2 linked regions of the Oryctolagus cuniculus genome follow. The protein of the gene in region 1 interacts with the protein of each later gene in a pairwise test. Links are inferred from orthologs where the notes say so. Each region holds a gene or a part of one and is shown in the gene's direction. Other genes may lie near its edges.

Region 1 (3,809 bases):
CAGAGAGAGAGAGAGAGAGGTCTTCCATCGTTAGTTCTCTCCCCAGTTAGCTGCAACTGTGCCGATCCGAAGCCAGGAGCCAGCAGCTTTCTCTGGGTCTCCCACACAGGTACAGGGGCCCAAGCACTTGGGCCATCTTTTACTGCTTTCCCAGGCCATAACAGAGAGCTGGATGAGAAGTGGAGAAGCCGGGTCTCGAACTGGCTCCCATATGGGATGTCAGCACTGCAGTCGGTGGCTCTACCCACTACACCATAATGCCAGCCCCATCACTTTTAATCTTACCATTTTGCAAAGCAGCACCCAAGTTTTGGTGCTAGTAATTTATAGAGCAAACACTCAGGAACCCCAGTCTCCCAATTAAGTAGGTCAGTGTGTTTTCTGTTAGGGTGCATCTCATATAGAGATAACTAAATGGAAAGTAATGCTTATGATAGTTTGATAGTTTTATTTTAAAAATAAATATTTTTTCTTAGTATCTTAAAAAGTATCAAAATGTTAGGTACCACGTAGCATGCTTAATGTCTTAACTATGGTTCAAAGCTAAAGCTTCTGGACTTCAGTATATGTGGAATAAATGCAAACTTCAACTTTGTTCCTTTCCAGCACCAGCATTGGATGTTGATTGGCAGAGCAACAACACCTTTGCTTCATGTAGTACGGATATGTGCATTCATGTCTGTAAATTAGGACAAGACAGACCTATTAAAACATTCCAGGGACATACGGTAAGAAACCTTTTCCCTCCCTGTTACAGGGATTATGACAAGTGATATTTCAGAATAATTTTGACATGTTTCTGTTTAATATCTGCACAGTAACCCAATCTAGCAAATGAAAATGTGAATATTTATTTTTAGAATGAAGTAAATGCTATCAAATGGGACCCAACTGGCAATCTCCTGGCCTCCTGCTCTGATGACATGACTTTGAAGGTAATTAATGTTTAATGGGGATGCGATGGGAGTGTCACACAGTGTGCCTGCTTTGACTGTTTAGAATATTTCTTACATTGTATGTTTAAGCCTTGGTGAGAACTTTTCCTGCTCTCTAATGATTAATTATTGTTTTGCGTACTTTAATTTTCTTTTCTGGGATATATAGAATTACTTGAATATAGCAAATACATTGTATTAATAGTCATACAGTTATGATGGCATATTAATCAGCATTCTCCAGAGACATAGAACCCATAGAGGGGACAGACCAATCAATCCATCGTAAGAGATTTGTGAACAATTGGCTCACAAGGTTATGGTCGCTGATAATCACATGCATGTTCTGCTGTTTGCCAACTAAAGACTCAGAAAACTGCTGGTGAAACTCCAGGCAGGATCCATGGCCTAGGGGTCAGGAATACCAGTGGTTAAGTTCCAGTCCCTGGAAGCCCAGTATCCTAGCTCAGTGGTCAGGCTGCCGTTCTGGTTTGTTCCGGACCTCTCTGCATCTGATCATACCCAGCTACACTGGAGAGAGGGTAGTCTGCCTTACTTAGTCTAGTGATCAAAACCCAGTCTCATCCATAAACACCCTCACAAAACCACACAGAAATAATGTTTAGTTAAATCTCTGAGTTCTCTATGACTTTCTCAAGTTGACTTATAAAATTAACCCTCACAGGCAGTAAGAAATGTAACACTATGTATTGGTTCAATTAAAGTTTATTTTCACATGTGAAGATCTGACTGACAAATATTTAAGATCTTTGAAGCATTTGTGAATTTATCTGAAATTCTGTGAATTGTATCAATTTGCTTTTGTTGTGATGTGAATTTGTATCTCCCTGGCTGGGAAACTGATAGAAATGAGTTGGGAGTCTCTGAGTGACTGAGCAAGCCTACATGCCAGCAGCCACGTTTTAACCTGCATTTATTATTTTTTTCTTGTCTGACTGAAAGCAAAACTGTTGCTACCTTTCATCTAAGCACATTGTACCACAGTTAGGGAAAAAGAATTTTGAAGTAAAAAACCAGCCAACTACTAATCTCCAAAATAAATGAAGCCTGCAGTTCTCTTCTGTAACAGATAACTCTACTGAAAACAGTTTTATCTTTGACTTTGTGATACCAGACTGCAGATGTGATAACCTTTACAGATAAAATAATCTTGAGGGAAAACTGCTTTTCCTCCTACCATGAATGGACTGAATGTAACCTTGGGAACTCTCTGGATTTTTTTTACCCTAAGTACCTGCTGTTTGTTCAGTCAGATAGTTCTCAAGTGCTGGCTCCCTTAGGAGCATTGCTAGTAAAAAGGCTTTTCTTAATGCTTTTATTTTGGAGTTTTCCTTGTATGTACATATATTAGTACTTATAAAATGAAAAATTTGTAGAAAAGCATATGATATACAAGGAAATGGAAGCCGGTGCTCGTTGAGCCTTATGTCATGGATTGAGTTGCAGCTGCAGAGATAGATTGGAACTTGAAATTTTAAGAGAGCTTTTCTGCATCTTAAGAATAAATAAAGGTCACATAGGATTTTAAAACAAAAACTAGGTGGATGGGCAAGCTGTAAGAGGGCCATTTTCTGAGAACAGGGAATACCTAATTGAGTGAGAAGATCATATTGAATTTTAATAATGTCGGAGTAATGCAGATGGAGAGGCTTCATGGGTCTGATTCTCTCATTACAAAACACCTACCTAAGCTTCCAGAGACTGAGGAGTGACCAAAGTGGAAAAGAGAGAGAATGTGTAGAGAAAAGTACTTCACAGAGACACTGGATGGGAGTGGCCAACAGTATCAAATGCCATTGGAAGGAAGTCTAACGAAATTTGTTCTGGAAAAACATCTTTTGAGTTCATTTACATGGGGTTATAAATGCCTGAACTGCAAAAACACTATGATAGTACCCCATTATTTTTTGTTAGTTTTATTGTAGGAGTATGAAGTCCAGCTAACTTTTGTTTCCCTTCTGCTGTTGGAGTTGATGTGCTTGTGTTTGTCAAGACATCTTATGTGTTTCCCCCATTCCACCTTTCAAGTCTATATTGATACATCCAAAAATACTCTGGATGTAGGTTTCTATTAATTTTTGCTCATAATTAATGCAGATTTTTTAACCTGAACATAGCATTTTTCACCTCAGCAGAAGCTTATTCTCTACTACTTTAGCTCTATTGCATGTGTTTTCATCACTTGTTCTGTTCGAGTCATCACATTATTTTGTAAGCTGTTTACTTATTTTCACTTCATTACAGAAAGTAATTTCCGGCTAGTTAATTCTAAGAGCAATATATAATGTCTGTTATTTAAGGGACAGCATCAAAGCAGTCCCTTTAACATTTTGATGTTGAACTTTGCAACTTTTTAATCTACCAGAAGTAATCATGGAAAAAAACTATAATTCAGTCTTCAAACCTTACAATAGTGAATATTTTTGAAGGCGACAAAGATAATATCATTTATTCCAAAAATATTAAATATATTCTGTATTTAAATTACAAATATTCCCTTAATTTTGGTTCTATCACTCATATTTTGGGCTGGCAAGATAGTATATTTTGAATGTACTCATTATACTGAACCATAATTATATACATTTTCTTTTTTGTTTAGATATGGAGTATGAAGCAAGACAATTGTGTCCATGATTTGCAAGCACATAATAAAGAGATTTATACTATCAAATGGAGTCCAACTGGACCAGGGACGAATAATCCAAATGCCAACCTTATGTTAGCAAGGTGATACGATATTTCTGTTTTACTCTTCCTTTTATGAGTCCTTTACAAATAAAGCTTCTAATGAATTTGAATTTACAAGTAGGGAAGATCCTATGACATGGCAGTGTAGATCTTACAAGCATA
Region 2 (4,510 bases), on another chromosome or scaffold:
TGCTCCCGGCGGGGGGCCGCGAGGAGGCCGTACCACTGGCTCGGGGCGGGGGGCTCCGTTCCGAAGGCCCAAGGTGCGGGCCTGAAGCCGAAGCGCCCGGACACGGCGTCCCGAATGGAAGGGGGAGGTGGGGCCCGGAGGTGACTGGACGTCGCCGTCCGTCGGGCGGGACGGAGCTGGGGGCCCCTGGCCGCCCCGGCTCTGACCTCCCACCCCCCCGCGGCCTGTCCGAGGGTGCCGGGCCCCGACCCCGCCCTCGAGTTCGAAATCCCAGGGGCGAGCGGGCCCCGCCCTCAGCTCGCGCGGCCGGGGGCGTGGACGCCGCGGGTCGTTTCGCGCTTGTGTCCGACCGTCCGTCTCTGCTGCGGTCACCCGTTGCTGTCCCCGGGCCGAGGGCTCGCAGGCCCTGGCTGGGGAGAGGAGACCCTGATGCGTGCATCTGTGTCGGGTGTAAAGAGCCCCGGGAAAGGCCCAGGGAGCTGAGCGCCACTGTGTGCGCGCCAGCGTCCTAGGGGCTGGGGTAACCCAGCAAAGCAGACCCTGCGTGGCGGAACGCTGTAATGCAGGGAGGAGCAGGGTGCTGAGTGGCCCGTGCTCGGAGGACCAGGCTCGCAGAGTGACAGCTGAACACGCAGAGCTGGGGGAGGTGGGCTGGGGGGGGCAAAGGGAGCAGGTGCGCCCAGAGGGGACCCCAGAGCCGCCTCCCCTGGGGCCTTCTGCTTCCTGACAGTGAGGGGTGCAGAGCACGAGCTGAGGTTGGGGAGAGAGACTGGTGGCTTGGGCCACGGTGTGAGCGGTGAGATCCTGAAAGGGGGGGGGGGACGTTCTGCCCCACTCCCCGCCCCTGGTGTCAGGTTGGGGAAGTGAGGCCCGACTGCCAGGTTCCTGGTGCGAGCAGTTACAAGGACCAGGGGCCATTGGCCGAGGCTGGGAGGAGCCGGGGAGGAGCGCAGGGGCTGGGAGGCAGAGTTCTGTTCTCCCCTGAGAGAGGCCCCAGACTTCCCGGGAAGGGCAGGTGGGCAGGTGGGCAGGTGCAGGTCGGGGGTCTGTGGAGGACACCGCCCAGGGAGTGTATGCAGGCCAGAGGTTGGAGGAGGACCAGGAGCTGGGGGTGGGGGCCCCTGGGACTCACCTTGGCGAGCAGGAGCCAGAGGCTGGTGGGTGTGGTTCAAGGATGAGGGAGAAGGCAGGGGGGTGGACAGGAGCTGCCTGCAGCCGAAGTGAGGAATGAGATGGGGGAGGGGCTGAGAGCCACAGCGGGGTCGTCAGCTGATTTTCAGGGCCTGGGCCTGGGCTCAGCAGAGGTGCTGTCCTCACCTCCAGTTTGTGGCCTTGGGTCACTCAAGGTCGGGAGAGAGACGGCTGAGTCGGGGACCTGCCCGGCCACAGCCCCCTTGCTCTGCCAGGTACACCGAGCTGTGGGAATGACTCCTCTGCTGTGAGCTCACACATCCATTTGCATGCATTTGGAATATTCACACATCCATTTGCATGCATTTGGAATATTCACACATCCATTTGCATGCATTTGGAATATTCACACATTCATTTGCATGTATTTGGAATATTCACACATTCATTTGCATGTATTTGGAATATTCACACATCATTTGCATGCATTTGGAATATTCACACATCATTTGCATGCATTTGGAATATTCCAGAAGCAGGTGAGAGTGTGGCTGTCCCCCGGGGCCTTGGCAAAGCCGGTTATTTGGATTTGGGGCCTTGGCTCAGGGCACTTCGCGTCCTCCCCAGTAGAGTGCGGGCCTGGGAGGGAGTGGCCTTGGTCCACCAGGACCCACGCCGAGGAGGGCCCGGCCAGAGGAGATGCCTGATGCCGCCGCGCCTTTCAGGGGCCAGCGTGGGCACCACTCATCTTGGCACAGGCGGGGAGCGGTCGGTCGGTCCTCGGGGCGCAGGGACGCAGGGATGCGGGGACTTCCTTAACCGGGCGCGCCGCAGCGGCCTGGACAATGCCGGCAAAACCACGATCCTCAAGAAGTTCAACGGGGAGGACGTGGACACCATCTCCCCCACGCTGGGCTTCAACATCAAGACCCTGGAGCACCGCGGGTGGGTGAGCAGGGCCCCGGCAGGGCCCGGAGCCGCAGAGGGGCCTGGCTCATCCGCTGCCGCCTCCCTCCCCTGCGCAGGTTCAAGCTGAACATCTGGGACGTGGGCGGCCAGAAGTCCCTGCGCTCCTACTGGCGGAACTACTTCGAGAGCACCGATGGCCTCATCTGGGTGGTGGACAGCGCTGACCGCCAGCGCATGCAGGACTGCCTGCGGGAGCTCCAGAGCCTGCTGGTGGAGGAGGTGCACGCCGGGGCCGGGCAGGGGGTGGGGGGTGTGCGCGAGGGGCTGGTGGAGGAGGTGCACACCGGGGCCGGGGAGGGGGTGGGGTGTGCGCGAGGGGCTGGTGGAGGAGGTGCACACCGGGGCCGGGCAGGGGGTGGGGGGTGTGCGCTAGGGGCTGGTGGAGGAGGTGCACGCCGGTGGGGGGGAGGGGGTGGGGGGGTGTGCGCGAGGGGCTGGTGGAGGAGGTGCACGCCGGGGCCGGGCAGGGGGTGGGGGGGTGTGCACGAGGGGCTGGTGGAGGAGGTGCACGCCGGGGCCGGGGAGGGGGTGGGGGGGTGTGCGCGAGGGGCTGGTGGAGGAGGTGCACGCCGGGGCCGGGAGGGGGTGGGGGGGTGTGCGCGAGGGGCTGGTGGAGGAGGCGCACGCCGGGGGGGGGGGGGGGGGCGGGGAGGGCTGGGGGTGTGTCTGCATGCGCACAGCGCTGGTGGGGCGTGGAGAGAGGCTGCTGGCCGGGGGCGGCCCTCCTCTGTGAATACATGTGTCGGGTGTGTGGACACCTTTCTCCACGGGCACCCAGAGGGACGCCTGGGACAGACCTGTTCCTGCACCGCACCCCACCACGGGAGGCCCATGGTGCCATTCTGTGCACTGCGACCTGGGCTCCTGACCCCCGAGGGCCGCCGGTTTTCTCCTCTGAGCTTCAGCGTCTGCCCTGAAGCAGGCATGACGTCACCCACAGGACTGGGCTTAGCGAGTGAGGCTCTGGGGGGCGGGGGTGGGGCGCCCTACTGTGTGCCCTCAGGAGAGCCACCTAACCGCTCACTTCCACATCCCGAGATGATCTTTGAAAGCAGAAAGATCTACTTTATGTTATTTGAAAGAGAGGGAGAGACGGAGAGAAAGATCTTCCATCGCTGGTTCACTCCCAGATGGCTGCAGTGGTTGGAGCTGGGCCAGGCTGAAGCCGGGAGCCTGGAGCTCCATCCGGGCCTCCCGCGTGGGTGACAGGAGCCCCAGCACTTGGGCCATCCTCTGCTGCCTTCCCAGGCGCGTTAGCAGGGGGCTGGACCGGAAGCGGAGCAGCCGGGACCCTAACCAGCGCTCCCACGCCGGATGCTGGCGTCCCAGGCAGCAGCTTTACCCAGTGCCGGCCTCCCGAGCAGTTTTCTTTAAAACGGTAGATTTACAGAAGAGTTGAGGAGCTGGAGCCCTCACCCCTTCATAGCTCGCGTGGTGCGAACATCTTCCGTAACCCGGTCATCTGTCAGCCAGGAGCGGAAGGCTGGGGACGGCGGTCCTGTCCCTGCTGTTGGACTCAGCCTCGCGCCGCACTGCACGCAGCTGAGAGCCAGGGCTCCTGGGGAGTGGAAAGGCAGATGTTGGGGGGGGGGGGCACAGATCATGGCCGGCAGACTCTGAGCGCACGCCCCACAGGCCAAGGCCTACAGGGTGAGGGCGATGGTGTGGAGGACGCCCGGGGAAGACGCGGGTGGAAATATCTGGAATCAGAGGCAGAGTGAGGCCTGCTGGGAGTGGCACGTGAAGGGGGAAGGCAGCCTGCGGGGTCTCTGTGGGTCAGACCATCGGAACCACAAAGAGGGCCAAGGATGGTCTTGTCGCGGGGTCTCTGCAGGTCAGACCACCGGAACCACGGGGGGGGGGGCAGGATCGTTCTGTCCTGGGGTCTGTGGGGTCTCTGTGGGTCAGACCACCAGAACCACAGGGGGGCCAAGGATGGTCTTGTCCCGGGGGTCCACGGGGTCTCTGCGGGTCAGACCATGGGAGCCACAGGGGGGACCAGGATTGTTCTGTCCCGGAGTCTGCCGGGTCTCTGCGGGTCAGACCACCGGAACCACGGAGGGGGCCAGGATCGTCTTGTCCCGGGGGTCCACGGGGTCTCTGCGGGTCAGACCACCGGAACCACGGAGGGGGCCAGGATGGTCTTGTCCCGGGGTCTGCGGGGTCTCTGCGGGTCAGACCATCGGAACCAAAGGGGGGACCAGGATCCTCTTGTCCTCGGGGGTCCACGGGGTCTCTGCGGGTCAGACCATGGGAACCACAGGGCCCTAGGATGGTCTTGTCCTGGGGTCTGCGGGGGTCTCTGGAGGTCAGACCATCAGAACCACAGAGGGGCCCAGGATCCTCTTGTCCTGGATTACAAAAGAGGAAACAGGAACTGGGAGTGAGGGGCCCGCTGCCCCTCCCACCC

Evidence for each region.
Region 2: the proteins of TBL1XR1 (region 1) and ARL2 interact in binary tests that used the Homo sapiens proteins (3 or more experiments, as listed by UniProt). The two-hybrid records come from large-scale screens. The link is inferred for Oryctolagus cuniculus from reciprocal best matches to the Homo sapiens genes TBL1XR1 and ARL2.

What each region holds. Positions count from the first base shown.
Region 1 is NC_091435.1:102,883,010-102,886,818, forward strand, and holds part of TBL1XR1 (F-box-like/WD repeat-containing protein TBL1XR1), read left to right. Parts: intron 1-606; coding exon 607-728; intron 729-860; coding exon 861-935; intron 936-3,558; coding exon 3,559-3,686; intron 3,687-3,809. UniProt on the Homo sapiens protein: F-box-like protein involved in the recruitment of the ubiquitin/19S proteasome complex to nuclear receptor-regulated transcription units. Plays an essential role in transcription activation mediated by nuclear receptors.
Region 2 is NC_091432.1:6,521,763-6,526,272, reverse strand, and holds the start of ARL2 (ADP-ribosylation factor-like protein 2), read left to right. Parts: upstream 1-1,436; 5' UTR 1,437-1,522; coding exon 1,523-1,670; intron 1,671-1,856; coding exon 1,857-2,076; intron 2,077-2,156; coding exon 2,157-2,319; intron 2,320-4,510. UniProt on the Homo sapiens protein: Small GTP-binding protein which cycles between an inactive GDP-bound and an active GTP-bound form, and the rate of cycling is regulated by guanine nucleotide exchange factors (GEF) and GTPase-activating proteins (GAP).